Linked DNA regions of Macaca mulatta. The protein of the gene in region 6 interacts with the protein of the main gene of each other region in a biochemical or structural test. Links are inferred from orthologs where the notes say so. Each region holds a gene or a part of one and is shown on either strand. Other genes may lie near its edges.

The links.
Region 1: of the proteins of PML (region 6) and HIPK2, one has a biochemical effect on the other in vitro, tested with the Homo sapiens proteins (2 studies listed by BioGRID). The link is inferred for Macaca mulatta from reciprocal best matches to the Homo sapiens genes PML and HIPK2.
Region 2: of the proteins of PML (region 6) and SENP1, one has a biochemical effect on the other in vitro, tested with the Homo sapiens proteins (2 studies listed by BioGRID). The link is inferred for Macaca mulatta from reciprocal best matches to the Homo sapiens genes PML and SENP1.
Region 3: the proteins of PML (region 6) and KLHL20 form a complex in vitro, tested with the Homo sapiens proteins (3 studies listed by BioGRID and IntAct, with this or other methods). The link is inferred for Macaca mulatta from reciprocal best matches to the Homo sapiens genes PML and KLHL20.
Region 4: the proteins of PML (region 6) and CHEK2 form a complex in vitro, tested with the Homo sapiens proteins (2 studies listed by BioGRID, with this or other methods). The link is inferred for Macaca mulatta from reciprocal best matches to the Homo sapiens genes PML and CHEK2.
Region 5: the proteins of PML (region 6) and JUN form a complex in vitro, tested with the Homo sapiens proteins (2 studies listed by BioGRID). The link is inferred for Macaca mulatta from reciprocal best matches to the Homo sapiens genes PML and JUN.
Region 7: the proteins of PML (region 6) and SP1 form a complex in vitro, tested with the Homo sapiens proteins (2 studies listed by BioGRID, with this or other methods). The link is inferred for Macaca mulatta from reciprocal best matches to the Homo sapiens genes PML and SP1.

Annotation. Positions count from the first base shown.
Region 1 is NC_133408.1:179,611,464-179,615,981, reverse strand, and holds the start of HIPK2 (homeodomain-interacting protein kinase 2), read left to right. Parts: upstream 1-1,469; 5' UTR 1,470-1,839; coding exon 1,840-1,858; intron 1,859-2,220; exon of another isoform or gene 2,221-2,404; intron 2,405-4,518.
Region 2 is NC_133416.1:55,172,384-55,176,347, reverse strand, and holds part of SENP1 (sentrin-specific protease 1), read left to right. Parts: intron 1-902; coding exon 903-987; intron 988-1,362; coding exon 1,363-1,518; intron 1,519-2,748; coding exon 2,749-2,880; intron 2,881-3,964. UniProt on the Homo sapiens protein: Protease that catalyzes two essential functions in the SUMO pathway.
Region 3 is NC_133406.1:31,211,081-31,215,044, forward strand, and holds part of KLHL20 (kelch-like protein 20), read left to right. Parts: intron 1-3,176; coding exon 3,177-3,750; intron 3,751-3,964. UniProt on the Homo sapiens protein: Substrate-specific adapter of a BCR (BTB-CUL3-RBX1) E3 ubiquitin-protein ligase complex involved in interferon response and anterograde Golgi to endosome transport.
Region 4 is NC_133415.1:22,828,432-22,832,395, forward strand, and holds part of CHEK2 (serine/threonine-protein kinase Chk2), read left to right. Parts: intron 1-296; coding exon 297-421; intron 422-539; coding exon 540-687; intron 688-740; coding exon of another isoform or gene 741-778; intron 779-3,964. UniProt on the Homo sapiens protein: Serine/threonine-protein kinase which is required for checkpoint-mediated cell cycle arrest, activation of DNA repair and apoptosis in response to the presence of DNA double-strand breaks.
Region 5 is NC_133406.1:181,864,770-181,869,284, forward strand, and holds JUN (transcription factor Jun), read left to right. Parts: upstream 1-1,526; 5' UTR 1,527-2,510; coding exon 2,511-3,515; 3' UTR 3,516-3,843; downstream 3,844-4,515. UniProt on the Homo sapiens protein: Transcription factor that recognizes and binds to the AP-1 consensus motif 5'-TGA[GC]TCA-3'.
Region 6 is NC_133412.1:51,755,742-51,759,705, forward strand, and holds part of PML (protein PML), read left to right. Parts: intron 1-2,781; coding exon 2,782-3,362; intron 3,363-3,964.
Region 7 is NC_133416.1:60,525,725-60,530,400, forward strand, and holds the start of SP1 (transcription factor Sp1), read left to right. Parts: upstream 1-1,562; 5' UTR 1,563-1,601; coding exon 1,602-1,608; intron 1,609-2,112; exon of another isoform or gene 2,113-2,309; coding exon of another isoform or gene 2,310-2,391; intron 2,392-2,948; coding exon 2,949-3,106; intron 3,107-3,401; coding exon 3,402-4,676. UniProt on the Homo sapiens protein: Transcription factor that can activate or repress transcription in response to physiological and pathological stimuli.

The DNA.
Region 1 (4,518 bases), on a different chromosome or scaffold from region 6:
CAACAGTGGTCTAGGATTCTGCAAATGTGAATGGCATTAAGTTAAGAGAAGGGGTAGGAAGTGTAGCATTGATTATGGGGGCAAGGAAGACGGCAGAGTCCAAGATCACAGAGAGAAAGGGGTCGTGATGTGCCACTAACAAAATGTGAAAGAGCTTGCCTTTTTTGGGGGGAGGGGCGGGGAATAGAGGATGGGAATGGAAGATGGAGACCGGAAAGGATAAGAAGTAGTGAGAAAATCACGGGGTTGTTTTTAAGAATGTCATACAGTGTTAGAGATCATTATTTTACACCTTAAAAAGACAGCTTTTCAACTTTTCTAAACCCACGATTTACAGTCGGAAATAAAATTGACATCATGGTCTAGTACACTTGTCCAGTACCTATAATCGAAACAAAAGGTTTATGAAACAATAGTTGCCCTTACTAAGGGCAATGGACTCTAATATTTTCTATTGGATTCCATTTCATTCTTTTTGAAAGCCGGTTGCCTTCTGCTGCATTTATTTTATGATCTATTACTGTATCACGACCCACGGTTTTAAAAACTGTGCCTAAGAGGAGACTCAACAAGTCTTCCTAAGTTGGAGGGGATGGTAGGGCATCCTATCCAAGCATCCGGGAGGCAGCTGGAGAAGCAAACCTGAAGAGGCTCCGGGCTGGGGAGAGTTTGGAGAGTGTTTAGCGAAAGCCCTGATAGGAGAGAGCGCTGTGAAAAGCGAGGACCCAGACAGCTGTGAGCGCCCATTCAGTGATGGAGGGGGGACCCTCGGGACAGTGTAGACGCGAGGAGGCGAAGATCAGGGTGACGTCGAAGCCAGACTCCGGCAGGAACCCAGCGACCACCCCGGGGGCTGCATTTCCGCGGCGTGCACGGTAGGGCTTCGGTGCCTCTGACCTCGCGTAGCTTTCCGAAGCTCCTCCACTCACCCTCCCTCCCCGGGAGCACGGCGCGCGCCCACTCCTTCATTCATTCATTCCACTCCTAACTCCGCGAGCGCCAACCGGCTGTGAGATGGGCGAGCCACTTTGCCAGCCTGGGGCTCTCTTTCGGGTCGGTTCCCTCCCCGCCAGCACACGCGCGCACCCTCGCACCTGGGCACACACACACGCGCGTGCACACACGCACACACACACACACACAAAGTTCTGGGGGCCCCTCTGCGGACCGGCTCGGCTGCGCTGGGCTTGGAGCCCTGCGCCCGCCGAGTCCAGGCCGGCCCTCTCACCCGCTACCCCGGGCCCGCCCCGCGCCCTGTCCCCCCGCGCTGCGCGGCAGCCCCTCCCGGCGCGGTCCCCTCGGGCCGCCGGCGCGGCTCTGCCCTTCGGCTCGGCCTTCCCCGCCTCGCATCCGTGCCATCGGCGCTCGATTGCGCGCGGACTCCCTGTGGCTCTCCCGGCCCCGCGCCCCGCCCCCGCCCGCCGCCCCCCTCCGCCAGCAACTTTTGCGGAGCCCCCGCGCCCAGCCATGCTGAGCTGAGCCCCGCCGGCCCTGGCCGCGCGCTGCCCCCGGCTCCCGCCCCTCCGCGGACCCGCTCGGGGGCCGCGGCCGCTCGGCGCCTCGGCCTCGGCCGCTCCGCCCGCCCGGCCGCCCCGAGCCCCGAGCCCCGAGCCCCCCGCGCCGGGCCCGGGCGGCAGCGGCGGCGGCGGCGGCGGCGCGCCCGGCCCCCTCCCCCGGCGCCGGCCACGGGAGGCGGTGATGCGGGCGCGGGCGGCCTCGGCTGCGCCGAGAGCGGAGACACAGGCTCAAGATGGCAGATTCCGACTGAGGCTGGGGGGGCCGAGCTCGCGCGCCGCTTTCCCGTCCCCGTTGCCATGAACCGCGGACACCCCGGCCCCGATGGCCCCCGTGTACGAAGGTAAGGGGCGCCCGGCCCCGCCGACCCCGCGCCCGCCGCCCGCCGCGGCCCCCGCAGCTTTGTTCTGCCCGCGGCCCCGCGCCCGCAGCCCCCGGCGCCCGCCCCAGCCCCCACCCGGGGCCGAGGGGGCCGCGACCCCCTCCCTCGCCCGGAAGATGACCGGGACCCGGCGCCGGCAGGGTCCTGCTTCCAGGGCGGGGAGAGGGACCGGGGGCGCAGGAGGGGAGGGGGCGTGTGCGAGGGTGGGCGGCTGCCCGCGGAGGGCAGGGGCGCCGGGGAAGGCGGACCGGTGACTGTGCTTTTTATTTATTTGCGATAAATGAAGGTGATGCGGCTCAGCTTCCACCGCCCCCCCACATTACCTTTCGGAGCACCTCCTTTCCACTTCGCTCTCCGCCCCGCGCCCCTTCCCATTTCTCTCCGCGCCCACCCCACGCTCCTTTATTCTCCGCGAGCCTCCGATTTTGGGGGGGCTGTGGAATCGGAATGCACGGGGCTAGGTGGGGAGAGAGATGAAAAGTCCGTGTCAGAGCCAAGCAGAACAATGAAATAGGCGAAAATCTCCCCGCATTAGCGTGTGGAAGGGGACGTGGACTTTGGGTTTTCCAGCCGGGGGAGCGGCGGATACGTTTTCCTGGCTCGGTCTGGGTCGACCTGTGTTGTGCACCTTCACCTGGCGTCGGGGTATTTTTCCCCATTTGCCTTTAGCAAGAAAGAAAAGAATGCAAGGCAGAAAAGCAGTAGGTCTGCCTCGCACACTGTCTTTCGTTTCTCTTCAGTCCGTTCTGTCAGCTTCCAGCCAGAAAGCAACCCAGAATCAACTAAGTTTTTACACTTCGATGTGTTTTTGTGTGCTTGTAGTAGGAGAAATTTTAAACCCAAGTGTGTCTGATTTTTCAGTCGTTTCATCGTGTAAATGTTTGTCTCATGAAATCATTGAATTCGCAGCCTTCACATACTTTTAGTGTGGGTCCCCCTGGCTTTCTTTCGGTTTTGTTCAGATATTCTGTGGATGAAATCGCAAATGAGAGGGGACAGGGTTTGTGTGGCACAGAGGAGGGCACGAGGGGGGAATGTAATCCGCCTGTAAATCCGGAGAACAGTTGTGGCCAGTGAGACAGGGAAGGCGTTAATAGTTTTATCTCTGTTATAAGAGGCTGATTTTAAAAAAAAAAAAAAAAAAAAAAAACTTATCTGAAAAGAAAATCTGTTATTAGATTCAGGGCTCCAAATGAATTAGGTTTCTGGCCTGAATAAAGTTACCAGTCAGGCGCTGGATAACGAGGCTGTAAATAACCTATGGACTGTAAATATTTTTTTTCAGACTCTCTTAGAAACAAAGGGGCTGTTTAGAAGGCAACAGAGAGATGTTATTCCAGGGGCTTTCCTCTTTGATTCTGAAGAACACAAGGTCCATTTAACCATTCAACAAAACAAAACGAAATTTCTGATCACTCCACCACGCAGAATAGAACATGCCGGTGGACATGTGAACATGCGGGAGAACCCATGTCGGGCGTTCATTGTTCATCTGCGTCTACAGGAGGGGGCTACAGTCAATGCTCCCACTGTCTAGAGTGTTAAAATGAAACAATTTTCTCTTTATTAAGTACCTCCTTGAGACTCCCTCTGCTGGACACTCCTGGTGAGTTGCGAGAAGGAACTTGGCATTGAATTCAGAACTATAGTAAACGGCTGGTTTCCCTGTTACTAGGGACCGGGTATGTGAGTTGGGGTGTATTTTGTCAACTTTGTGGAAAGCCATCTTGGGAACTGCACTGTTCTCCTCCTGCTCCTTTCATTCTAAATCCATGTGGAATGTAGGCCATGCCCCCGAGGCTGAGACTTGGCTCTCCCCATTCCTGCTACATTGTTCTTCCAGTTCCTTACGCCAGATAAAGAATTGCAGGTGTGTAGGGTGTTACGGTTTAAGAATAATCATGGATCTCAAAAGTCTCATGAACTGTTTTTATTTGCCAGCCTTCCTTCCCTTTCTCAGGTGACCTCCGTGGTGGCCTCTTTCAGCCCTCGGTTTCCCTCCATCTTATCCATGTGCCTTCTTCATTCTTCCCGCGCTGTGCACCCTTTTATTCCGGATGTTTCTCTGTGCACCTTTATAATTATTTTTCTAATGTTCTTCCCTATCCCACTTCAACCAACCCACATCACTCTGCCAAAAGCCCAGGCCTGGGTGTTTTTGAAAGAGATTGTTGGATATGCTCTACAACAGGTGACCTCTAGAATCAAGGATTAGGTTGCTAGGACCCGCATTCACTCACTGATGATTGTGCCAAGACTCTGATGACCTCCTTTCTCCCGCCATGGTAACATCCGCTGGGTTCAGGAAACCTGATTTTTCCCCTATCTCAATCAGAACACATGGACTCCCTGTGTGCACGCTAAATGAGCAGAGCTTTTCCCGCAGATTTCTATAAGAAGAGGGATTCCTCATGGATTTTGAGCTCCTCTGTGCATGATTCTTCTCAGGAAAAGTGTAGTGACACAAGGGGGAATTGTTTCAATGGGGTGCTGCTGTACCAGGTTGGAATACCAGGTGAAGGCCCAGATGCATTAATGGAGCTTTCTGAACCGCCAGAGATTTAGACAGAAATGCTGTTTTTGAAACAAGGGGTATTTGATCATACGAATTAATGGGTGGC
Region 2 (3,964 bases), on a different chromosome or scaffold from region 6:
GCCACTGCACTCCAGCCTGGGCAACAGAGTAAGACTCCGTCTCAAAAAAAAGAAAAAAGTACCTGTTTATACTTTTAAGTTGATGAGTTTTCAAAATTTTGTTGGAGTTGGAACATTTCTACACTTACGTTTATTAAATCTATAACAATTGTTGAAGCTAAATTAAATTGGAAAAATAGAGTTAGCTATTATGTAGTAGGGACAATAAACGATCCTATTTTGGCATTTGTAAAACTAATTTATTGAATAATTCATATTTCTGGACTTTGCAAAATCACTGAAAGCATTTAGTCTTGTTTAAGAAACTTACTTTATTGAGTTATCCAAACCCCTTGGTCTCGGTAATTTTTAAAAAGTCTATCAAAAATATAGTATTTGAATTAAACTTCAGCAATATCTTGTATTAGTTTCTCCTTTGGGGTTCCATCCCATTTTTGGATTTCCAGACTGAAGTTTTGCTTTCATTATAATCTTAAAAGCATGTTAAGAAAAGAACTATGTGTTTACAAATGTTAACAAGTCATCTGTTCACATTTAGCAATGCACTGATATTTTTAGTAATTTCAGTAAAAATAGTTCGGGTGTGGTGGCTCACATCTGTAATCCTAGCACTTTGAGAGGCCAAGGTAGGGGGGTCGCTTGAGCCCAGGAGTTTGAGACCAGCCTGGGCACCATAGTGAGACCCTGTCTCTATAAAAAATAATAATAATGTCCGTAAAAAGAGTAGAGTAATTTCAGTAACATGTGGTTTCACTCTATGTCTTAAAATAAGGATGATAAGTTAGTGTAAGGATTTTAGACTTTCTTTGTGAGGGTTCTGTATTTAATACTCAGTGTACATCAACAATATGTTTGATACTGAGAGTGGTCTACATTTGGTCACATTCCTTTTCATTTTCTAGAACTAGTGTTTATGATTCTCGAGCACGAGAAAGATTGCGCCAGATTGAAGAACAGAAAGCATTGGCCTTACAGCTTCAAAACCAGGTAAAAAAGAAAATTGGAATAATATTGCAAATAAATACTACATCGAAATAGAAACTATTTTGGAAAGTTACCCAGATTTGGGTAATTGCTGTTGTAATTCCAAGATCGTATGGTAGCATAGCATGTTATGATATGTGGTAAATGTTCTCGGTCTGTTCAGTCAGTACTACTCATTGTACATAAGACAAATATACATAGTCCCCTACTTGTGATGGTTTGACTAATGATTTTTTGACTTTACAAAAAAGCGAAAGCAATAGGCATTTCAGCATGCTCCTTGACTTATGACAGGTTTATTGGGACATAACCCTATCGTAAGTCAAGGAACAGCCACAGATTTCTTTATCCTGCTTATTCTGAAGTTTTATCTTTCAGAGATTGCAGGAGCGGGAACATTCAGTACATGATTCAGTAGAACTGCATCTTCGTGTACCTCTTGAAAAGGAGATTCCTGTTACTGTTGCCCAAGAAACACAAAAAAAAGGTCATAAATTAACTGATAGTGAAGATGAATTTCCTGAAATTACAGAGGTAAATTACATACACTTAATTTCTACACTACCAAGTATTATGTTTAGAAAGAATCTCTCGGACGAATTTCAAACATAAAAGCAATAGTGGTCAAGCACGGTGGCTCACGCCTGTAATCCCATCACTTTGGGAGGCTGAAGCGGGTGGATCACTTGAGGTCAGGAGTTCGAGACCAGCCTGGCCAACATGGTGAAACCCCGTCTCTACCAAAAATACAAAAATCAGCTGGGCGTGGTGGCAGGCACTTGTAATCCCAGCTACACAGGAGGCTGAGACAGGAGAATTGCTTGAACCCGGGAGGCAGAGGTTGCAGTGAGCTGAGATCGTGCCACTGCACTTTAGCCTGGGTGACAGGCCAAGACTCCATCTCAAAAAAAAAAAAAAAAAAAAAAAAAGCCGTAGAACACTTGGTATTTAAGTTTTCTTGTATATTTCTGCTTTCACTTATTTTACATACCAATCTGGGCTTTATTTTTAAAATATTGAAAATTTATGAAAGAACTGTTGGTGGCTTTTAACAACTTCAGTGGAGAAGCATTTAATACATTTGTCTTTCCTGTCATGTGCATTTTTACTTACTGCACACATACAATAGTTTGATCCTAAATTGTAAGCTGAGGTTTGCTCTTTTTTTAAGTAATAAAACCCATTATAGAAAATTTAGAAAATACATGGAGGTCTGTGTACATTTTTAGATAATCCGTTTCTTTATCCATACGTCTCTTTGAAACCTACCTTGTAGCTAGTGAGCATAACACACTTACTATAGTTGTACTGAATTCTGTATTTTATATTTTAAAAAAGATCTCTAAGAAAGTAATTTCTAAAAGATACTGCCTTTACTCTCTTACTATAACCTTTCATTAAAAAATCTGTTTCTCAGGAAGTTGTTTGGACCAGAGATATAAAATATAGTTAATTTTTCTCATGACTTAGAAAATTTGATAGCAGAAGGTTATTTCAGATTTTAGGAATTAATATGGAAACAAGGATCTGAATGTTGTGCTGAAAAAGAGAAGGGAGGACTAGATGAAGTGTAAAGAAGTAATCAGGGATTACTGGGAAGGAATAGAAACCAAAATGTTACATAGAAGTAAACTAATTAACAGTAAATTTATAAACAATCGAATGGTGATAAATATAGTCTGAGGATTTCATGGGGCTTGGTGAGAAATATGGTTTTCCTGAAGCCACGCATGTTTGATGTCTTGACACCTTTTGTTTTCTTAGGAAATGGAGAAAGAAATAAAGAATGTATTTCGTAATGGGAATCAGGATGAAGTTCTCAGTGAAGCATTTCGCCTGACCATTACACGCAAAGATATTCAAACTCTAAACCATCTGAATTGGCTCAATGATGAGGTAATATTGCATCTATTTTTACATACAAATAACAAACATTAAGTGGCAGTTAAATTAAGGCATTATCTCACTATTTCTCAAAATGTGGTCCATGGATGACCCGCATTGAAATCACCTCTCATAGGCCTCTTCATTCTTGTAACCATGAGGGAGTGTGGTGGAGACAGGCATTTTTAACAAACATCTCAGGTGTATTTAAGAGTCTGAGAACCACTGAATTTACCTTTTCTTGTATTGAAGATTTGAACACTGAAGAAGACATTCACTCATTGGTATTCTCACTCTCTTTAAGGCTCTTGTTCTGCAGTTCATCTCTTCTGAACAAATAAGTATTAGCTGACCGTTTTGCAGCATGAAGGAATACTTTGGGATTTCTTTATAGGAATCCAGTTTTACTTCCCTTTCTACCTAAGTTCTACTCATTTTAGATCGCTTACAAAATGAATGATAAGATTTCCAAAATAGCCTCCATTTATGTATGATATTTTTTAAATGGACATTGACAAAGTTATTATTAAATATTTGAGGTATTGGGAAAGTTACGGTCTTCACCTCCTAACTCCAGTTTATTTTAAGTATATTAATTACACTACAATTTTTAAACTGATCTATTCCTAAACCTAAACCTGTAAGTAGCTATTTTATTTTAGAAGGTTATTTTTACAGCAAAGGAAAACTGGGTTGGGTATCTTTTCCTAAGTACCTTCTTTCTGTGAGCATCCCTGCCTAATCTGGGTATACTCAAGCTTCACAGCTGTGGAGGATCTTTAGTTTCTCAGTATAGTAATCATTAAATATTTTAGATATCCATATCCTGTTTTTGCATGATCAAGACCTTCCAAATAATATTTGCTAATAACTATTGATCATTTACCTCATTAGGTACGATTCATGTTTTATGTGTTTTATTCTTGTAATAGTCATCATATCTTTGGAGGTAGATATGATAGTTTTATCATCTCCATTCTACAGATAAAGAAACAAGGCATAGAAAGATTTAAAAACTTGCAAGGTTATACAGCTAGTAAACAGCAGAGCCAAGATTAAGACCCAAGTATTGGGTCTTATCTACTATATCTTACCA
Region 3 (3,964 bases), on a different chromosome or scaffold from region 6:
GTGACTCACACCCGTAGTCCCAGCTACTTGGGGGGCTGAGGTGGGAGGATCACTTGAGCCTGGGAGGTCGAGGCAGCAGTGAGCCACGATCAAACCACTGTATTCCAGCCTGGGTGATAAAGCAAGACCCTGTTGCAAAGAAAAGATACAAATTTGTATCTTATGTATTATCTGGAATGACTTTAAAGATAATAAAAGTATTTTAAGTATTTTATCAATACTTAAAAGTAATTCTGAAAATTTCTTATACCATCCAGTTAATTTTAGTTAGAAAAGGGATGATGTAAGTTCACTTTGTTATGCTTATTCCCTTAAATATGAAATGCATTTTATAGGCTGCTTTTACCGAATTATTTGACTCTTCTTGATATTTCACTGATGAAATTTTTCATGATGACCAAATCTAAAAAAAAAAAAATCTGTATTTGGTGTAGTTTCTTGGGCTTTTAAAAACAGTTGTACAGAAATTTGGGTAATCCATAAGAAAAAACAAAACAAAACCTTATTTTGAATTGCTAAATCATCCTAGAAACTCTTCCCTCTCCTCACCTCCCAGTACTCACATGAATTACAGTTATTAAATATTCACAGTACCTCAGGAGATGCGTGGTTTACCCTAAAGCATCCAGAGACTGAGAGCTTCATGATTTTGAGTAAGTCACGTAACCAAACTAGTTTCTTCATCTGTAAAAGGAGGGCATTATGCTACATGATCCGATGATCCATTCCATTCCATATCTAGATCTCCACACAAGCAAGAAGGGGCAGTTTTCATATTTGAAGACTTGTGAAGAACACCAACTTGTAAGATTTATAGACACATACATATATACTCTGATCCTGTAAGGCAGTGTTCATCAAATTTGAGCAATTTACAGATACTCCACCACCTTTTTGTCCAGAACCCATTTTAAAGGAAAATAATTATTGCAGCTTCTTTTTTTTTTTTTTTTTTGAGACGGAGTCTCGCTCTGTTGCCCAGGCTGGAGTGCAGTGGCCGGATCTCAGCTCACTGCAAGCTCCGCCTCCCGGGTTTACACCATTCTCCTGCCTCAGCCTCCCGAGTAGCTGGGACTACAGGCGCCCGCCACCTCGCCCGGCTAGTTTTTTTGTATTTTTAGTAGAGACGGGGTTTCACCATGTTAGCCAGGATGGTCTCGATCTCCTGACCTTGTGATCCGCCCGTCTCGGCCTCCCAAAGTGCTGGGATCACAGGCTTGAGCCACCGCGCCCGGCCTAATTATTGCAGCTTCTAAAAAATACGTCCTTTAACACAAGTTTAGACAACACATACCTAAATGTACAGGAAATGCCCAACTTATAGACTTCTACAGTTTATGTATACTAGCTCGAGCCATCATGCTTCTCTAAAGCTTTTGTTTAAAAACCAAAAACGGCCAGGCGCAGTGGCTCATGCCTGTAATCCTAGCACTTTGGGAGGCTGAGGCAGGTGGATCACGAAGTCAGGAGATCGAGACCATCCTGGCTAACACGGTGAAACCCCCGTATCTACTAAAAATACAAAAAATTAGCCAGGCATGGTGGCACGCACCTGTAGTCCCAGCTACTTGGGAGGCTGAGGCGGGAGAATCGCTTGAACCCGGGAGGCGGAAGTTGCAATGAGCCGAGATTGTGCCACTGCACTCCAGCCTTCGCGACAGAGCCAGACTCTGTCTCAAAAAAAACCAACCCAGCATGGTGGCATGTGCCTTTAATCCCAGCTACTCAGGAGGATTGCTTGAGCCTAGGAGTTCAAGACCAGCATGGGCAACATAGTGAGACCCTCATCTCAAAATTTTTTTTTAAATTAATAAATATAAAAACCCAGCAACAACAAATTGTAGAATAATCTGAAAAAGAGAGAGATTCTTTTCCTTCTCCCTTCTTGTACCTATTGTTCCTTGCGTCTTGGGACTTCAAGACTCAGGGCAGTGGCATTTAAACTTTTTTGATATAACCTGCAGTTTACAAAGGGAACCAGTGATGCATATCTATACGAATTTGTGTGTGTACATACACGCAATTGAACGTACTTAATGAAATGTATGCTGTTACTTTCTATTTCATTTTTTAATGCTTCTTATGATGCACTGAATTTTACAACTAAACCTAGTCCCCATTTACAGCACTCTTACCATAGAAAAATACAAACCTCCAAATAAATAAACTTTTAGAATCAACTTTTAAATACTACTTACTTATAAATTGAAGAATGTCTGTTTATGAACTTATTCATTTATTTTATAATCATACCGAAACCTCAGTGATTCAGACCAATTTGACAGCAGTTTGACATATGTAGTACTTTTAATTGAGGCTTATCATATTTAATATCTCTAATAGGAAATTAGACCCAAATTAGTCTAACAAAATCGACCTGGAGGCTCTTTGGAGTCCTGCTAAATCATCATTTAGCTTGCCATTTTCTTTACTATTTTAATCTCAATAAACTTGCAAAGATTCTATGTAAAGATAAATTTCAATCCAGACTTTTTTTTTTTTTTTTTTTTTTTTTTGAGACAGGGTCTCTCTCTGTCACCCAGACTGGAGTGCGGTGATGCAATCTCGGCTTACTGCAGCCTCTGCCTCCAGGGTTCAAGTGATTCTTGTGCTTCAGCCACCCAAGCAGCTGGGATTACAGGCATGTGCCACCACACATGGCTAATTTTTCTGTAATTTTAGTAGAGACAGGGTTTTGCCACATTCACCAGGCTGGTTTCAAACTCCTGGCCTCAAGTGATCAGCTTACCTTGGTCTCCCAGGGGTTACAGACATGAGCCACCACACCTGGCCGTCAATCCAAACTTTTTAGATTGTCTTTAATTCAAAATTGAACTATTAATTGAAGCATGTTAACTTGGGCTTAATTTTTAAAATGGATAAGCATAACCACCTTATCTAAAAGTTTTATTACCATAGTAGCTGGAATTTAAATGGTTTATGTAGACCAGGCATGTTGGCTTATGGGAGGTGGAGGCAACAGGATCACTTGAGCCCAGGAGTTTGAGACCAATCTGGGCAACACAGTGAGACATCATCTCTACAAAAAAATTAAAAAAAAAAAAAATCACCAAGCTAATTACGTTTCCTTATCGCTTGAATTACAAACATTTAAGGGGAGAAAAGAGTTTATAATAATACTGCCATCTTCTTTCTCTCCCCCATCATTCCTATAGGTGTACCAACATTCGACCAGGAGAGACTGGAATGGATGTAACAAGCCGCTGCACCCTTGGAGACCCCAACAAACTACCAGAAGGGGTTCCCCAACCTGCCCGCATGCCCTATATCTCAGACAAGCACCCTCGACAAACCTTGGAAGTGATTAACCTTCTGAGAAAGCACCGGGAGCTATGTGATGTGGTGCTAGTTGTGGGCGCCAAGAAGATATATGCCCATCGAGTCATTTTGTCAGCCTGTAGTCCCTACTTCCGAGCTATGTTTACAGGAGAATTGGCAGAGAGCCGTCAGACAGAAGTAGTGATCCGCGACATCGATGAGAGGGCTATGGAATTACTGATTGACTTTGCATATACCTCCCAGATAACAGTAGAAGAGGGCAATGTTCAGACTCTTCTGCCAGCTGCTTGCCTCCTCCAGCTGGCAGAAATACAGGAAGCCTGCTGTGAATTCTTAAAGAGACAATTAGATCCTTCTAACTGCCTGGGCATTCGGGCTTTTGCTGACACACATTCATGTCGTGAGTTGCTAAGGATAGCAGACAAGTTCACCCAACATAACTTTCAAGAGGTGAGTTGCACTTGGTGTTCCAATGCACTTATGATCTATTTGTCAGAGAGCAATATAGATTCACATTCTGTTAAATTGCCTGGGTATTTCCTGCTGATTCTAACTTATAATAGCAAAGAAGTAAGTTATTATAAATCCTAAACCTAGCTTTTATTTTAGAGGCCAATTTTGTGTTCTACCAGCAAAAGTTAAGATTTAGGGATTGATTCTCCGT
Region 4 (3,964 bases), on a different chromosome or scaffold from region 6:
GTCATGAGCTCCTGGGGTCAAGTGATCCTCCTGCCTTAGCCTCCCAAAGGGCTGAGATTACAGGTGTGAGCCACTGCGCCTGGCCATGTGATTATAGATAAACTGCCATTTGTTAAACTCGTTGTAAATGTTGTTTTTTCTCTCCTGATTTTTAATCTTATAAAATCTTGATAAGCAGACTGATAATTCTGATTGCCTTCTTAGGCTATTTTCCTACAATTAGCATTTATGACCAATTTTTAAACGTTTGATATATGAAATTCAACAGCTGTCTGCTGCATGCTTTTGTATTACAGAATGTGTGAATGACAACTACTGGTTTGGGAGGGACAAAAGCTGTGAATATTGCTTTGATGAACCACTGCTGAAAAGAACAGATAAATACCGGACATATAGCAAGAAACACTTTCGGATTTTCAGGGTAGGTAACAAATACCCACGTATCTAGGAGAGCTGGTAATCTAGTCATTGTTTTTAGGTATTTTCCCACTATAAATCTCTGCTGTTCAAAGTTTGAAATAAAATGTTCTCTGTTTTAGGAAGTGGGTCCTAAAAACTCTTACATTGCATACATAGAAGATCACAGTGGCAATGGAACCTTTGTAAATACAGAGCTTGTAGGGAAAGGAAAACGCCGTCCTTTGAATAACAATTCTGAAATTGCACTTTCACTAAGCAGAAATAAAGGTAATATTATTATCTTATGGTTACTGGATTTTTTTTTTTCCACTCCCTCATAGGAGGAAAATTTGTCCTGTCCTTACAGAGTATGGTTTAAGTGAGTAAAGATGAGTAAGTTGCCAGGCGCAGTGGCTCACACCTGTAATCCCAGCACTTTGGGAGGCCGAGGCGGATGGATCACCTGAGGTCAGGAGTTCGAGACCAGCCTGACCCACATGGAGAAACCCTGTCTCTACTAAAAGTACAAAATAAGCCGGGCATGGTGGCATATGCCTGTAATCCCAGCTACTCAGGAGACTGAGGAAGGAGAATCGCTTGAACCCAGGAGGCGGAGGTTGCGGTGAGCCGAGATCGCGCCATTGCACTCCAGCCTGGGCAACAGGAGTGAAACTCTGTCTCAGAAAAAAAGATGAGTAAGTTAGCATTCAAGATTCAACTTTGCCGTCCTAGTTGCATTGTTAAATTTTGAAAAAGTTCCATCCAGACAGATTTTTAAGGTTTTAAGGTTTAATTGGTTTTATGTAATGCCATATACTGTGTTTTTTTTTAAATTTATTTTTATTTTTTTATTTTTTATTTTTAATACGGGGTCTTGCACTGTCACCTGGGCTGGAATGCAGTGGCGCAATCTCGGTTCACCGCAGCCTCCGCCTCCCAGTTTCAAGCGATTCTCCTTGCCTCAGCCTCCCAAGTAGCTGGGATTACAGGCACCCGCCACCACGCCCAGCTAATTTTTTTGTATTTTTAGTAGAGATGGGGTTTCACTATGTTGGCCAGGCTGGTCTCGAACTCCTGACCTTGTGATCTGCCTGCGTCAGCCTCCCAAATTGCTGGGATTACAGGCGTGAGGCCCCACTTGGCCCATATACTGTTAATTGAATTATCATGGTGATTAAAATAAGTTATAGTTCATTGATTGATTCAGTTTATACCACATCAGTCTTAGATATCTATGAATTGTTGTTTCAGGCCATTAATTCATTTTTCCTTCCTCTTCACCTCATTCTTTCCTTTCTTCATTTTTTCCATTCATTTTTTTCTTTCTTTCTTTTTTGAGACATGGTCTCACTCTGTCACTCAGGCTGGAGTTCAGTGGCACTGCAACCTCTGCCTCCCAGGCTCAAGTGATCCTCCCACCTCAGCCTCCTGAGTAGCTGTGACCACAGACACATGCCATCACGCCTGGCTAATTTTTTGTATTTTTGGTACAGATGGAGTTTCACTATGTTGGCCAGACTGGTCTTAGACTCCTGAGCTCAAGCAATCTGCCTGCCTTGGCCTCCCAAAGTGCTGAGATTACAGGTGTGAGCCACCACGTCTAGCCCCATTCCTTTATTTCTGTATACATTTATTGAGTTACTTTTATATACCAGGCGTTAGGATATGGGTGCTTCTGTAAGAGGCTCACTTTAGAGCATCTACCTTTGTAAATACTACATGGTTATCCTGTGTAAGTGGAGATGTTTATTAGCATCATCATATAAGCATCCAGTTCTTTTTTTTATTTGAGACGGAGTCTCGCTCTGTCGCCCAGGCTGGAGTGCAGTGGCGTGGTCTCGGATCACTGCAAGCTCTGCCTCCTGGATTCACGCCATTCTCCTGCCTCAGCCTCCCGAGTAGCTGGGACTACAGGCGCCCGCCACCACGCCTGGCTAATTTTTTGTATTTTTAGTAGAGATGGGGTTTCACCGTGTTAGCCAGGATAGTCTCAATCTCCTGACCTCGTGATCCGCCCACCTCGGCCTCCCAAAGTGCTGAGATTACAGGCGTGAGTCACCGCGCCCGGCAAAGCATCCATTTCTAAAACTATGGAAATAAAATCTGAAATGAACAATTGTTTTTCAGGGTAATATCTAGAAGGGTACCTGACAAAAACAACCATAGAGTTAAAAGTAGCTCAAGGTGATTAGACAAGAGAAATACTATTTTTCTTTAGTTAAAGAAACCATAGAGCTTCCCAAACTTATCTGAGAGTCGAATGACTTGGAGGGTGTCTATGTGTGTGCAAGACATTTTGAAAATAAGGGTTCCTACAAGTACTCTTCTCTAGATTCTGGTAGGGATTTAAAAAATCATGCCTCTAGGGGCTGTGGCATGAGCCTGTAGTCCCTGCTACTCAGAAAGGTGAGGCTAGAGGATCCCTTGAGCCCAGGATTTTAAGGCTACAGTGAGCTATGATGGTGCCTGTGAATAGCCACTGCCCTCCAGCCCGGGCAACATGGTGAGACCCCGTCTAACCAAATGAAATGAAATCATGCCTAAGGGATTTTCATGCAGTCAGTCTTCAGTCTGGTATCTTGGAACTATGTCTATATTGGGCGTCCTGAAGTACATTTTATGATTAACTTAGTTTTCCCTGTTTCCGACTATTTTGTTTTCTCTGTGATAGTTATAGTCAGGGCAGCTGCTTTGGGTTTTGCTGTTTATGAGTGTGTAGGAGAGGTGCAACTGGGTGCTGAAATTTGGACTGTCCTCTACTTGACAACCTGTGTACCACCTTTTTCTCATTGGTCTGCCCAAAGGGCACTTTTCTTCCTCTTTTTAAAAAATTAAATAAACCTTTAAACATTTATTTAATAGATAAAAATTACAGGTTGGCATGGTAGCTCATGCCTGTAATCTCAGCACTTTGGGAGGCCAACACAGGAAGGTTGCTTGAGCCCAGGAATTCAAGACCAGCTTGGGCAACATAGTGAGACCCCATCTCTACCAAACATAAAAAAATTAGCTGGGCATGCTGGTATGTTCCTATAGTCCCAACTACTTGGGAGTCTGAGGTGGGAGGATTGCTTGAGCCTGGGAGGTCGAGGCTACAGTGAGTCATGATTGCACCACTGCACTGTAGCCCGGGCAACAGAGTGAGAAGGTGTCTCAAAAATACATAGATATTTATCATGTGCAACATGTTTTGAAATATGTATATATTGTAGAATGGCTAATTTGAGCTAACTAACATGCATTACCTCACTTACTTATCTTTCTTTTTTTTTTTTTTTTTTGAGACAGAGTCTCTCTCTGTCGCCCAGGCTGGAGTGCAGTGGTGCGACCTCGGCTCACCGCAAGCTCTGCCTCCTGGGTTCATACCATTCTCCTGCCTCAGCCTCCCGAGTAGCTGGGACTACAGGCGCCTGCCACCACGCCCGGCTAATTTTTTTTTTTTTTTTTGTATTTTTAGTAGGGATGGGGTTTCACCATGTTAGCCAGGATGATCTTGAGCTCCTGACCTTGTGATCTGCCTGCCTCGGCCTCCCAAAGTGCTGGGATTACAGGTGTGAGCCACCAT
Region 5 (4,515 bases), on a different chromosome or scaffold from region 6:
GCCACCACCTCCCTAGTGCTGCAGGCGACCCTGTCACACTAACTCCCGGCAGCCCGGTGATGTGGACGGCACCGGCCCCACCTGCAGATGAGGGTAATGAAGCTCAGAGGAGTTCCGTGATTTGCTCGCTTCACACTGTTGCAGCCTGGCCACGAAAGAACCAGCATTCCCGACTTCGGGATTCTTTCCACCACACACTTTCGTCCCTAAGGGGTGGGGGGCGGGGGGAAGATAAAATAACAACCGCGGAAAAGGAACCACTTACATGTGTCTAGCGCTTCCTAGAGGCTACTCAGGATATGGGCCCACCACCCGGCCGGGAAGGCGGAGATTTGAAGTCCAGGTTCTACCCCGGGCTCCTGAGTTCTACTGCGTTACTTTATGCGAGTGTCCCCCGCCTTCTGAGCTTGTTTTCCCGGAAGCAACTCGGCGCGGGTGGAGAGTGTGTGCGTGTGTGTGTGTGTGTGCGCGCGCGCATGTTGTGCGTGTTGTGTTAAGCGTGTGTGTGTTGTCCGGGGGCGGGAAGGGGAGTAGACTAACACCGGGGTTCCCCGAGTTTCGGATCGCCTACACGCTTGTTCCCATCTGGACCCTGTTACCCACTAATTGCGCCCACTATAAAAACTGCCCCTCGGAGGCAAAGCTGTGATCCCCCGCGCCCTTTCCCCCACGGTCCCGGAGGATGAAGTGGGGTGCAACGGAGACTCAGCTGAGCGTCCAGTTTTGGGCAATACAAATCTCTCAGCTTCTAAGAGCAGCCAGACAACCCCGCGGACCATCCCTCCTGAACTTGACCGAGATGCAAACTTCGCAGCGTTTCTCAACGTGGGGGGCCGACTCTCGGGAGACCGCCCCCAAACTTAAGCCCCCTTAGGCTCGCCCCCAACTGGGACTTCACAGAGCCACCTTAAGGGCGGCGCTCCCGCCCCCCGGAAGTGCGGGGGGGCGGCGGACCTGGACTCTCAGCCTCCCGCCCCGCGCGGTGGCGGACGCCGGTGGATGACTTCGAGCCCCACAAGTGGGGAAACACAACCACCCCTCGCCCGCACCCTTGACCCAAAACAACTGGCCGGGTTCCCTGGCCTCCCGGGTCCCCGCATCCCCTGCATCCCAGTCCGCAGCCGTGAACTTGAGCCCCCTCCGTCAGATGTTGCGAGCGTCCGCCCGCTCGCGGCAGCCACCGTCACTAGACAGTCAAACCCCAAGACGTCAGCCCACAATGCACCGGGCGGGCCGGGAAAAACGGCCCGGGGAGGGGACCGGGGAAGAGAGGGCCGAGAGGCGTGCGGCAGGGGGGAGGGTAGGAGAAAGAAGGGCCCGACTGTAGGAGGGCAGCGGAGCATTACCTCATCCCGTGAGCCTCCGCGGGCCCAGAGAAGAATCTTCTAGGGTGGAGTCTCCATGGTGACGGGCGGGCCCGCCCCCCTGAGAGCGACGCGAGCCAATGGGAAGGCCTTGGGGTGACATCATGGGCTATTTTTAGGGGTTGACTGGTAGCAGATAAGTGTTGAGCTCGAGCTGGATAAGGGCTCAGAGTTGCACTGAGTGTGGCTGAAGCAGCGAGGCGGGAGTGGAGGTGCGCGGACTCAGGCAGGCAGACAGACACAACCAGCCAGCCAGGACGGCAGTATAGTCCGAACTGCAAATCTTATTTTCTTTTCCACCGTCTCTCCAACTGCCCAGAGCTAGCGCCTGTGGCTCCCGGGCTGGTGTTACGAGGAGTGCCCAGAGAGCCTGGTCTCCAGCCGCCCCCAGGAGGAGAGCCCTGCTGCCCAGGCGCTGTTGACAGCGGTGGCGAGCAGCGGTACCCACGCGCCCGCCGGGGGAAGTCGGCGAGCGACTGCAGCAGCAAAGAACTTTCTCGGCCCGGAGGACCGGAGACAACTGGCCCAGAGTCCCGGAGCGAACTTTTGCAAGCCTTTCCTGCGTCTTAGGCTATTCGGCGGCGGTAAAGACCAGGAGGCGGCGGACAGCCACGCAAAAGAAGAAGGACGTGCGCTCAGCTTCGCTCGCACCGGTTGCTGAACTTGGGCGAGCGCGAGCCGCGGCTGCCGGGCGCCCCCTCCCCCTCGCAGCGGAGGAGGGGACAAGTCGTCGGAGTCTGGGCGGCCGAGACCCGCCGCTGGTCGGCCTCTGCGGGTCGGCACTGATCCGCGCCGCCGGGAGAGCCGCTGCTCTGGGAAGCGAGTTCGCCCGCGGACTCCAAGGAACGGCGGCGCCCGAAGAGCGCTCAGTGAGTGACCGCGACTTTTCAAAGCCGGGTAGCGCGCGCGCGAGTCGACAAGTAAGAGTGCGGGAGGCATCTTAATTAACCCTGCGCTCCCTGGAGCGAGCTGGTGAGGAGGGCGCAGCGGGGACGACAACCAGCGGGTGCGCGCGCTCTTAGAGAAACTTTCCCTGCCAAAGGCCCCGGGGGGCACGGGTGTCCCCCGCTTGCCAGAGCGCTGTTGCGGCCCCGAAACTTCAGCACGCAGCCCAAACTAACCTCACGTGAAGTGACGGACTGTTCTATGACTGCAAAGATGGAAACGACCTTCTATGATGATGCCCTCAACGCCTCGTTCCTCCCGTCCGAGAGCGGAGCTTATGGCTACAGTAACCCCAAGATCCTGAAACAGAGCATGACCCTGAACCTGGCCGACCCAGTGGGGAGCCTGAAGCCGCACCTCCGCGCCAAGAACTCGGACCTCCTCACCTCGCCCGACGTGGGGCTGCTCAAGCTGGCGTCGCCCGAGCTGGAGCGCCTGATAATCCAGTCCAGCAACGGGCACATCACCACCACGCCGACCCCCACCCAGTTCCTGTGCCCCAAGAACGTGACAGACGAGCAGGAGGGCTTCGCCGAGGGCTTCGTGCGCGCCCTGGCCGAACTGCACAGCCAGAACACGCTGCCCAGCGTCACGTCAGCGGCGCAGCCGGTCAGCGGGGCGGGCATGGTAGCTCCAGCGGTAGCCTCGGTGGCAGGGGGCAGCGGCAGCGGAGGCTTCAGCGCCAGCCTGCACAGCGAGCCGCCCGTCTACGCCAACCTCAGCAACTTCAACCCAGGCGCGCTGAGCAGCGGCGGCGGGGCGCCCTCCTACGGCGCGGCCGGCCTGGCCTTTCCCGCGCAACCCCAGCAGCAGCAGCCGCCGCCGCAGCCGCCGCACCACCTGCCCCAGCAGATGCCCGTGCAGCACCCGCGGCTGCAAGCCCTGAAGGAGGAGCCTCAGACAGTGCCCGAGATGCCTGGCGAGACGCCGCCCCTGTCCCCCATTGACATGGAGTCCCAGGAGCGGATCAAGGCGGAGAGGAAGCGTATGAGGAACCGCATTGCTGCCTCCAAGTGCCGAAAAAGGAAGCTGGAGAGAATCGCCCGGCTGGAGGAAAAAGTGAAAACCTTGAAAGCTCAGAACTCGGAGCTGGCGTCCACGGCCAACATGCTCAGGGAACAGGTGGCACAGCTTAAACAGAAAGTCATGAACCACGTTAACAGTGGGTGCCAACTCATGCTAACGCAGCAGTTGCAAACATTTTGAAGAGAGACTGTTGGGGGCTGAGGGGCAACGGAGAAAAAAAATAACACAGAGAGACAGACTTGAGAACTTGACAAGTTGCGACGGAGAGAAAAAAGAAGTGTCCGAGAACTAAAGCCAAGGGTATCCAAGTTGGACTGGGTTGCGTCCTGACGGCGCCCCCAGTGTGCACGAGTGGGAAGGACTTGGCGCGCCCTCCCTTGGCGTGGAGCCAGGGAGCGGCCGCCTGCGGGCTGCCCCGCTTTGCGGACGGGCTGTCCCCGCGCGGACGGAACGTTGGACTTTTCGTTAACATTGACCAAGAACTGCATGGACCTAACATTCGATCTCATTCAGTATTAAAGGGGGGAGGGGGAGGGGGTTACAAACTGCAATAGAGACTGTAGATTGCTTCTGTAGTACTCATTAAGAACACAAAGCGGGGGGGAGGGCTGGGGAGGGGCGGCAGGAGGGAGGTTTGTGAGAGCGAGGCTGAGCCTACAGATGAACTCTTTCTGGCCTGCCTTCGTTAACTGTGTATGTACATATATATATTTTTTAATTTGATGAAAGCTGATTACTGTCAATAAACAGCTTCATGCCTTTGTAAGTTATTTCTTGTTTGTTTGTTTGGGTGTCCTGCCCAGTGTTGTTTGTAAATAAGAGATTTGGAGCACTCTGAGTTTACCATTTGTAATAAAGTATATAATTTTTTTATGTTTTGTTTCTGAAAATTCCAGAAAGGATATTTAAGAAAATACAATAAACTATTGAAAAGTACTCCCCTAACCTCTTTTCTGCATCATCTATAGATACTAGCTATCTAGGTGGAGTTGAAAGAGTTAAGAATGTCAATTAAAATCACTCTCAGTGCTTCTTACTATCAAGCAGTAAAAACTGTTCTCTATTAGACTTTAGAAATAAATGTTCCTGATGTACCTGCTTCTATGGTCAGGTTATACTCTTCTTCCCCCAGCTATCTATATGAAATTGCTTACCAAAGGATAGTGCGATGTTTCAGGAG
Region 6 (3,964 bases):
TGCCTCAGCCTCCGGAGTAGCTGGGACTACAGGCGCCCGCCACCTCGCCCGACTAGTTTTTTGTATTTTTTTTTTTTTTTTTTTTTTTGAGACGGAGTCTGGCTCTGTCGCCCAGGCTGGAGTGCAGTGGCCGGATCTCAGCTCACTGCAAGCTCCGCCTCCCGGGTTTACGCCATTCTCCTGCCTCAGCCTCCCGAGTAGCTGGGACTACAGGCGCCCGCCACCTCGCCCGGCTAGTTTTTTTGTATTTTTAGTAGAGACGGGGTTTCACCATGTTAGCCAGGATGGTCTCGATCTCCTGACCTTGTGATCCGCCCGTCTCGGCCTCCCAAAGTGCTGGGATTACAGGCTTGAGCCACCGCGCCCGGCCTGTATTTTTTTTTTTAAGTAGAGACGGGGTTTCACCGTGTTAGCCTGGTCTCGTTCTCCTGACCTCGTGATCCGCCCGTCTCGGCCTCCCAAAGTCCTGGGATTACAGGCTTGAGCCACCGCGCCCGGCCGGGTTTTTATATTTTGTTTTGCTGCTGTAACAAATTACCACAAATTTAGGGGCTTAAATCAATGTAAATGTATTCTCTCATGGTTCTGGAGGTAAGAAGTCTGAAACAGGTCTCACTGAGGTATATTAAGGTGTCAGCAGGCTTTGCTCCTTTGGGAGGCTCTCAGGCAGAATGTTTTCTTGCCTTTCCCAGCTTCTAGAGGCTGCCCACATTCCTTGGTGCATGCCCCCTTTCTGTCTTCAAAGCAGCAACATCACAACACTCCCACCTCTGCATTCATCACATCTCCCCTTCTGCCTCCCTGCCCTTTCCTTTGTAAGGATTCACGTGATTACATTGAACCCACCCAGATAATCTAGAATGATCTCTTTATCTCAAGGTCCTTAATTGAGTAACACCTGCAAAGACCCTTTTGCCATAGTAAGGTGACATATTCACAGGTCTCAGGAATTTGCACGTGGACATCTTTAGAGGCCACTATTCTGCCTACTAGAGTTTGCATCTAGACTCTACCACTTACTAATCGTGTGAGCTTGAACAAATTATTTCGCCTCTTGCACCAGTTTTCTCATCCTTAAAATGGGGATAATAATGTTATCTATTCCATTGGATTGTCAGGAGGATTGAATGAATTGATATTTGCCAACACTTATAATAGTGTCTGATACACAATAAATGCTATGGAAGTATCTGCTAGCTAAAATATATTAACCAGGCTAGGAGTGGTGGCTCACGCCTGTAATCCCAACACTTTGGGAGGCTGAGGCAGATGGATCACCTGAGGTCGGGAGTTCGAGACCAGCCTGACCAACATGGAGAAACCTTGTCTCTACTAAAAATACAAAATTAGCCGGGGTGGTGGTGCATGCCTGTAATCCCAGCTACTCGGGTGGCTGAGGCAGGAGAATTGCTTGAACCCGGGAGACGGAGGTTGTGGTGAGCCAAGATGGCGCCATTGCACTCCAGCTTGGGCAACAAGAGCGAAACTCCGTCTCAAAAAAAAAAAAAAAAAAAAATTAACCAAATAAAAATATTAAAATACAAACACTTTGATCTAGCAAGCCTATATTTATAATCTATTTCATAGGAACAAAAGCATCCATGTTTAGGCTATATAACTTGGATATTACTAAAGTGTTGTCCATATTGGCACCAAAAGAAAAAAAGGAAAGGAAAAGAAAGAAAGAAAATACACAAACAGGAAATTACCTGAATGCCAGCAAAATGAGTGATTGAATCAATTGTAGCCCATCTGGGATATACCAGAGTATTAAAGAGAATACATCTGATCTGTGCCTATGCACCTAGAGGAATGCTCTGAGTGAAAGTTTGTTAAGAGGAGGAAGTTACAAAGTAATTATATGAGTTGATTTCTTTCTTTTTTCTTTTTCTTGTTTTTTTTTTTTTTTTGAGGCGGAGTTTCGCTCTTGTTGCCCAGGCTGGAGTGCAATGGCACCATCTCAGCTCACTGCAACCTCCGTCTCCCAGGTTCAAGCAATTCTCCTGCCTCAGCCTCCCAAGTAGCTGGGATTACAGGCATGCGGCACCACACCCGCCTAATTTTGTATTTTTAATAGAGACGGGGTTTCTCTATGTTGGTCAGGCTGGTCTCGAACTCCCAACCTCAGGTGATCCGCCCGCCTCGGCCTCCCAAAGTGCTGGGATTACAGGCGTGAGCCACCGCGCCCGGCCGATTTCTTTCTTTTCTTTCTTTTTCTTTCTTTTTTTTTTTTTTTTTTTGACAAACGTCAATCCCCAAAATTGTAGATATCCAGGTCAATCATTTAACATGTTCTGTTTCTTCCTCTGGGAAATATGCATAACAATAATTCTCATCCAAGGGGCTCTCGCAAAGGTTAAGTGGCATGGCTGACATGTGTCAAGTCTGTACCATCCTGCAAGCAGCTGCCAGTCTGGCATTTGTGTAAAGCGGTTTCACTGGAGAGAGGTGTGGAAGGGTGCACCCCACAATGCTTACCTGGTGCTTCCTCAGTGAGGAAGGGAAATTCAGAAGTGGTGGAAAGAGATGATTGTCGTTTCGTATATCTTTGTATTGTTTCCCGGATGTTGAAATTGTTACTGTAGTAACTTTTTATACTCATGTTATTGGTAGTTTGGATACTATCACCATAACCACAAACAATGAATTGGGAAAAGCAGAAACCTAGAAACACGCCATGATTCAAAGTCTGGTAATTTTGGAAAAGGAATTTTATAACGAACGTTTTAAGAGGAAAAAGTCAGGAGAGTCCTAACCCAGGCCAACCTTGTGTGTCCACAGCATCTACTGCCGAGGCTGTTCCAAGCCGCTGTGCTGCTCGTGCGCTCTCCTTGACAGCGGCCACAGTGAGCTCAAGTGCGACATCAGCGCAGAGATCCAGCAGCGACAGGAGGAGCTGGATGCCATGACGCAGGCGCTGCAGGAGCAGGATAGTGCCTTTGGCGCGGTGCACGCGCAGATGCATGCGGCTGTCGGCCAGCTGGGCCGCGCGCGCGCCGAGACCGAGGAGCTGATCCGCGCGCGCGTGCGCGAGGTGGTAGCTCACTTGCAGGCGCAGGAGCGCGAGCTGCTGGAGGCAGTGGACGCACGGTACCAGCGCGACTACAAGGAGATGGCCAGTCGGCTGGGCCGCCTGGACGCTGTGCTGCAGCGCATCCGCACGGGCAGCGCGCTGGTGCAGAGGATGAAGTGCTACGCATCGGACCAGGAGGTGCTGGACATGCACAGTTTCCTGCGCCAGGCGCTCTGCCGCTTGCGCCAGGAGGAACCCCAGAGCCTGCAAGCCGCTGTGCGCACGGACGGTTTTGACGAGTTCAAGGTGCGCCTGCAGGACCTCAGCTCTTGCATCACCCAGGGGACAGGTAAGTACGCAAGCCACCATCCTGGGCGCCCTGTGCCTCTGCTGCACCCTAGGGAAGGCGAGTCAGAAGAGATCGTCTCCATTTGACAGAAAAGGAAACTGGGTTTTTATTCAGTCTTTGGGATTTGGTAAGGTCTTAGGTTCCAGGACACAGGATAAGGGGGAGATAAGGCCCTGACAAAGGGCTGCAGCCACCCAGAGGGGACACGTTTTGCTAATTTACAAGACTCTGGATTGACCTAGCAATGACTCATAGGGAACGAAAAACTGCAAAGCTGAGAATCAGACCCAGTATCATTTTGGCGCCAGAGGGACCAACCACTTCAGGAGGTTCTCTTAAGCCACCAGTGTCTCGGAACAGAGAAGTCAATTGGAACCTGGGGTTAGGGTAGAAGGGAGCTAAGAAAACCTCCGGGAGATGATTGGATGCTTACCCAAAACCGTACAGTGGCTCAGTGGAGGAGACCTCTTGTCTCTAGGATGACCTGCTGTCTGACAACCTTTGCACGCCCTGCCTAGTGTTGGGCACTTGAGAGGTGAGGAGACACAGACCAGTTTCTGATCTCAAGGAGCCAGAGCCACATCACATAGCTGGAGAATGAG
Region 7 (4,676 bases), on a different chromosome or scaffold from region 6:
TCTCGGCCTCCCAAAGTGCTGGGATTACAGGCTTGAGCCACCACGCCCGGCCAAGGCCTCAGTTCTTAACTCCAAAGGGCTTAAAATAGTATAGGAGAATTCAGATTTTAAAACATAAGAACATACAAGCAAGCGACAACATTTAAGATACAAATACTGAAGGACATGACCTTATCGTGTCATTGACAAGCTATCAAGGCCGGCTCCACCAAAACACGGATAAAGAGGAGGCCAGAAATCCAGGTGCCTGCAGTAAAGTTTAACCTTCGTGATTGCAAAAAGCAGGAGCTCAACTATCTTGCTTTATGCATAGGCGGTATTTACTATTAACTCGGAAAAATGGAAGTGACTTATCCGCACTTTAGCCTCAAAGCTTGAAAAGTTAACCAGTCGTAAGTGGTTAGCGCCTTTGTCTGGCGGAACTTAACAAAATGGCGTTTTCTGGAATCTTACGGAGACTCTGCATATTGGTCAGCTCAGTATTAACTTATTTGGTGAGCGCTGTCCCCAAATCCCGTTCCGGCTGCACTCGCAGGGCTTGCAGCGACATTGAGGTATCTGCCCGCCTGTCCGCCCACCCGGGAAACGGGTAAGATTTGAGAGGTACTTTATAGGGGCAGTTAAATGAAGACTCAAACAAATCCTAGTGTTGATGCGGAACTGCGCGCCGAATGCCTTGGCTCTGACACCTGTTGAGCTGCAAGACTTCACTAAAGCGTCCCACCTAATGACTGTAACAACGTCCCCTGAGGTGGGCCAATATGGCGACGGTCTCCTCTTGGCACAGCCCTCTTCCCTCCCTCATGATGGGCGGCTCCGGTAACGCCCATTGGCCAACTAGGAGGCGGTGCCAGGCTTACTTCGTTCCCTCATTGGATTGAATAACTTAGGGAGCCGCCAATTCTCCTCTGCCACTCCAAGTTTCCGCCCTCAGAGTTAATCTGGCGTTTAATTGGCTTTTAATTCACGTCAATATGCGTCCTTTCCTGTCTTTTTTCAGTCTTAATCCAATCATAACTTTCCTGGCTGCCCGCCTGATTTCTGATTGGTTTTAATCAGCTTCAGCCTATCCTATTCCTGTCTACTTCTTACCTCTCCTCCCACTAGGATTTTGCCCAAGCATATCCCGGATTCTAGTTGGCCGTTGTTCTGTCATTCCTATCAAACCTTTCCCTATCCCAATGTCTCAGGGAGCCCGCCTGCCGGTTGACTGGTTTCCTTCCAAGCCAATAATCCCCAGCTCCCGCCCATCTTCACTTCCTGCATCTTTCATTGGCTTTTAACACTGAGAGGGCTGTCTTTTTGGGCGGACACCAGGCACGCAACTTAGTCTTACACGCCTTAGAGAGCAAGCGAGTCTTGCCATTGGAAAACCTCACCGTCTTTCTTCTGCAAGTCCCACCTTTCCCCCTCCCTCATTGGGCGGGGCAGCAGAGAAGGGGCGGGGCATAGGTTGGGCTGGTGGCGCGCTGCTCCCTCCTCCTCACCCCCCCCTCCCTGTCCGGTCCGGGTTCGCTTGCCTCGTCAGCGTCCGCGTTTTTCCCGGCCCCCCCCAACCCCCCCGGACAGGACCCCCTTGAGCTTGTCCCTCAGCTGCCACCATGAGCGGTAAGGATGAGTCCACTCCAAGCTTAGGGGTGGGAGGCGAGTGAGGGGGCGCGCGCGAGGGCCGACCGGGCGATCCCCGCCGTGAGGGGGGGCGGGCGGGAGGCGGCGGCGGCGGCCTAGGTCCCGCCCGGGGCGGAGGGAAGGGAGGGAGACGGGGCAGTGGCTGGGCCTCCGAGGAGGAGGGGGATGGGCCGCCCGCCCCGGGGGAGGGGGCAGCGTGGCCTCGCCCGCCCCCTGCCCGCCCCGGCCACGGGGGACGGGCCTTACCCCCCACTACTCGGCCGCCCGCCTGAGGCTCCTCCCGCCGGGGGCTGGAGCCGCGGGGGCGGCCCGAGCAGTGAAGGCCCCGCCCGGGCCAACCGCTTGTCTGGTCCGTCCTCTGGTCGCCGCCTGCTCCGGCGCCCTCCTCCCCCCACTTTCCGTAGATTTCCCTTCCCCCCGCCCCACCGTCCCGCCCTTTCCACGCCCCTCACCCCGAAACCGCCCTTTCCCTCAGGGCCCGCCCTCCGCCCCGAAACCTCCTGACTACTAACCAGTACACCCCTTTAGTTCCTTAGTAGTATTCACAAATGTTTTCCTACTAAAACTTTTTATTTCTTTTTCCCTTCTCCTCTTGTTACTTTTAATACTTGGGTTTTTGTTTATCTCTCTCTTTTTTTTTTGAGAGGGAGTTTCGCTCTTGTCGCCCAGGCTGGAGTGCAATGGTGCGATCTCGGCTCACTGCTACCTCCCGGATTCAAGCGATTCTCCTGCCTCAGCCTCCGGGAGTAGCTGGGATTACAGGCATGCGCCACCACACACGGCTAATTTTGTATTTTTAGTGGGGACGGGGTTTCTCCTTGTTGGTCAGGCTGGTCTCAAACTCCTGACCCCAGGTGATCCTCCTGCCTCAGCGTCTCAAAGTACTGGGATTACAGGCATGACCACCGCGCCTGGCCTCTCCATCTCTTTTAACCTTAATTTTAGCAATCTTTCCATCCACCCACATATTGTTTTTTGCCTTACTTGTCCTTTTTTCCCTTAGGATACTTTTTCTTATTTTGAAACTCTTTCAGCATGACTACCATCCTTCACATTTCCTATCCCCAAAGCACTTTTTGAATGTTTTCTTAGTTAATTTTGTGTAAGGGAGAATTGAGGCCCACTTTTGGCACCATTGAGCCTAGTTCATGTCCTGCATGCCCTGCAGCTCCCCTCTGCCCTCCAATCCATTTTCTTTATACTGGCGCCTTTCGCCTTCCTGTTAGTCATTGCTATTTCATCATAGCCTCCTTTTATCCTTCCTACCTCATCTCTTTTCTTCCCTCAAGTTTAAGTTGTTTGTTTTTTAATTGTTTTAGACCAAGATCACTCCATGGATGAAATGACAGCTGTGGTGAAGATTGAAAAAGGAGTTGGTGGCAATAATGGGGGCAGTGGTAATGGTGGTGGTGCCTTTTCACAGGCTCGAAGTAGCAGCACAGGCAGTAGCAGCAGCAGTGGAGGAGGAGGAGGGCAGGTAAGTGATAATAATAGAGTGGGGAAGATGTTGAGAGGATGTAAATATTCTTAGATAATTGCCTTACTCTTCATAGAAAGCTTTTTAGGGAGCTTATCAAAACCATTTTATAGATAAGAAGTAAGAGTATGGAGATCCCCAAAGACAGGAGTTTCAGCAATACAGATAGGTCAGCTTTTTGTTTCTGTTTTTTGCTCCTTGTCTGCACTACGTTGCTGTTTATTTGTTGTATACTGCCCCCTAGGCTGGCAGCTGGGTGTCACTAACTCCTTTCCTCTCCCTTATTTTTGGCCAGGAGTCCCAGCCATCCCCTTTGGCTCTGCTGGCAGCAACTTGCAGCAGAATTGAGTCACCCAATGAGAACAGCAACAACTCCCAGGGCCCGAGTCAGTCAGGGGGAACAGGTGAGCTTGACCTCACAGCCACACAACTTTCACAGGGTGCCAATGGCTGGCAGATCATCTCTTCCTCCTCTGGGGCTACCCCTACCTCAAAGGAACAGAGTGGCAGCAGTACCAATGGCAGCAATGGCAGTGAGTCTTCCAAGAATCGCACAGTCTCTGGTGGGCAGTATGTTGTGGCTGCCACTCCCAACTTACAGAACCAGCAAGTTCTGACAGGACTACCTGGAGTGATGCCTAATATTCAGTATCAAGTAATCCCACAGTTCCAGACCGTTGATGGGCAACAGCTGCAGTTTGCTGCCACTGGGGCCCAAGTGCAGCAGGATGGTTCTGGTCAAATACAGATCATACCAGGTGCAAACCAACAGATTATCACAAATCGAGGAAGTGGAGGCAACATCATTGCTGCTATGCCAAATCTACTCCAGCAGGCTGTCCCCCTCCAAGGCCTGGCTAATAATGTACTCTCAGGACAGACTCAGTATGTGACCAATGTACCAGTGGCCCTGAATGGGAACATCACCTTGCTACCTGTCAACAGCGTTTCTGCAGCTACCTTGACTCCCAGCTCTCAGGCAGTCACCATCAGCAGCTCTGGGTCCCAGGAGAGCGGCTCACAGCCTGTCACCTCAGGGACTACCATCAGTTCTGCCAGCTTGGTGTCATCACAAGCCAGTTCCAGCTCCTTTTTTACCAATGCCAATAGCTACTCAACTACTACTACCACCAGCAACATGGGAATTATGAACTTTACTACCAGTGGATCATCAGGGACCAACTCTCAAGGCCAGACACCCCAGAGGGTCAGTGGGCTACAGGGGTCTGATGCTCTGAACATCCAGCAAAACCAGACATCTGGAGGCTCACTGCAAGCAGGTCAGCAAAAAGAAGGAGAGCAAAACCAGCAGACACAGCAGCAACAAATTCTTATCCAGCCTCAGCTAGTTCAAGGGGGACAGGCCCTCCAGGCCCTCCAAGCAGCACCATTGTCAGGGCAGACCTTTACAACTCAAGCTATCTCCCAAGAAACCCTCCAGAACCTCCAGCTTCAGGCTGTTCCAAACTCTGGTCCCATCATCATCCGGACACCAACAGTGGGGCCCAACGGACAGGTCAGTTGGCAGACTCTACAGCTGCAGAACCTCCAAGTTCAGAACCCACAAGCC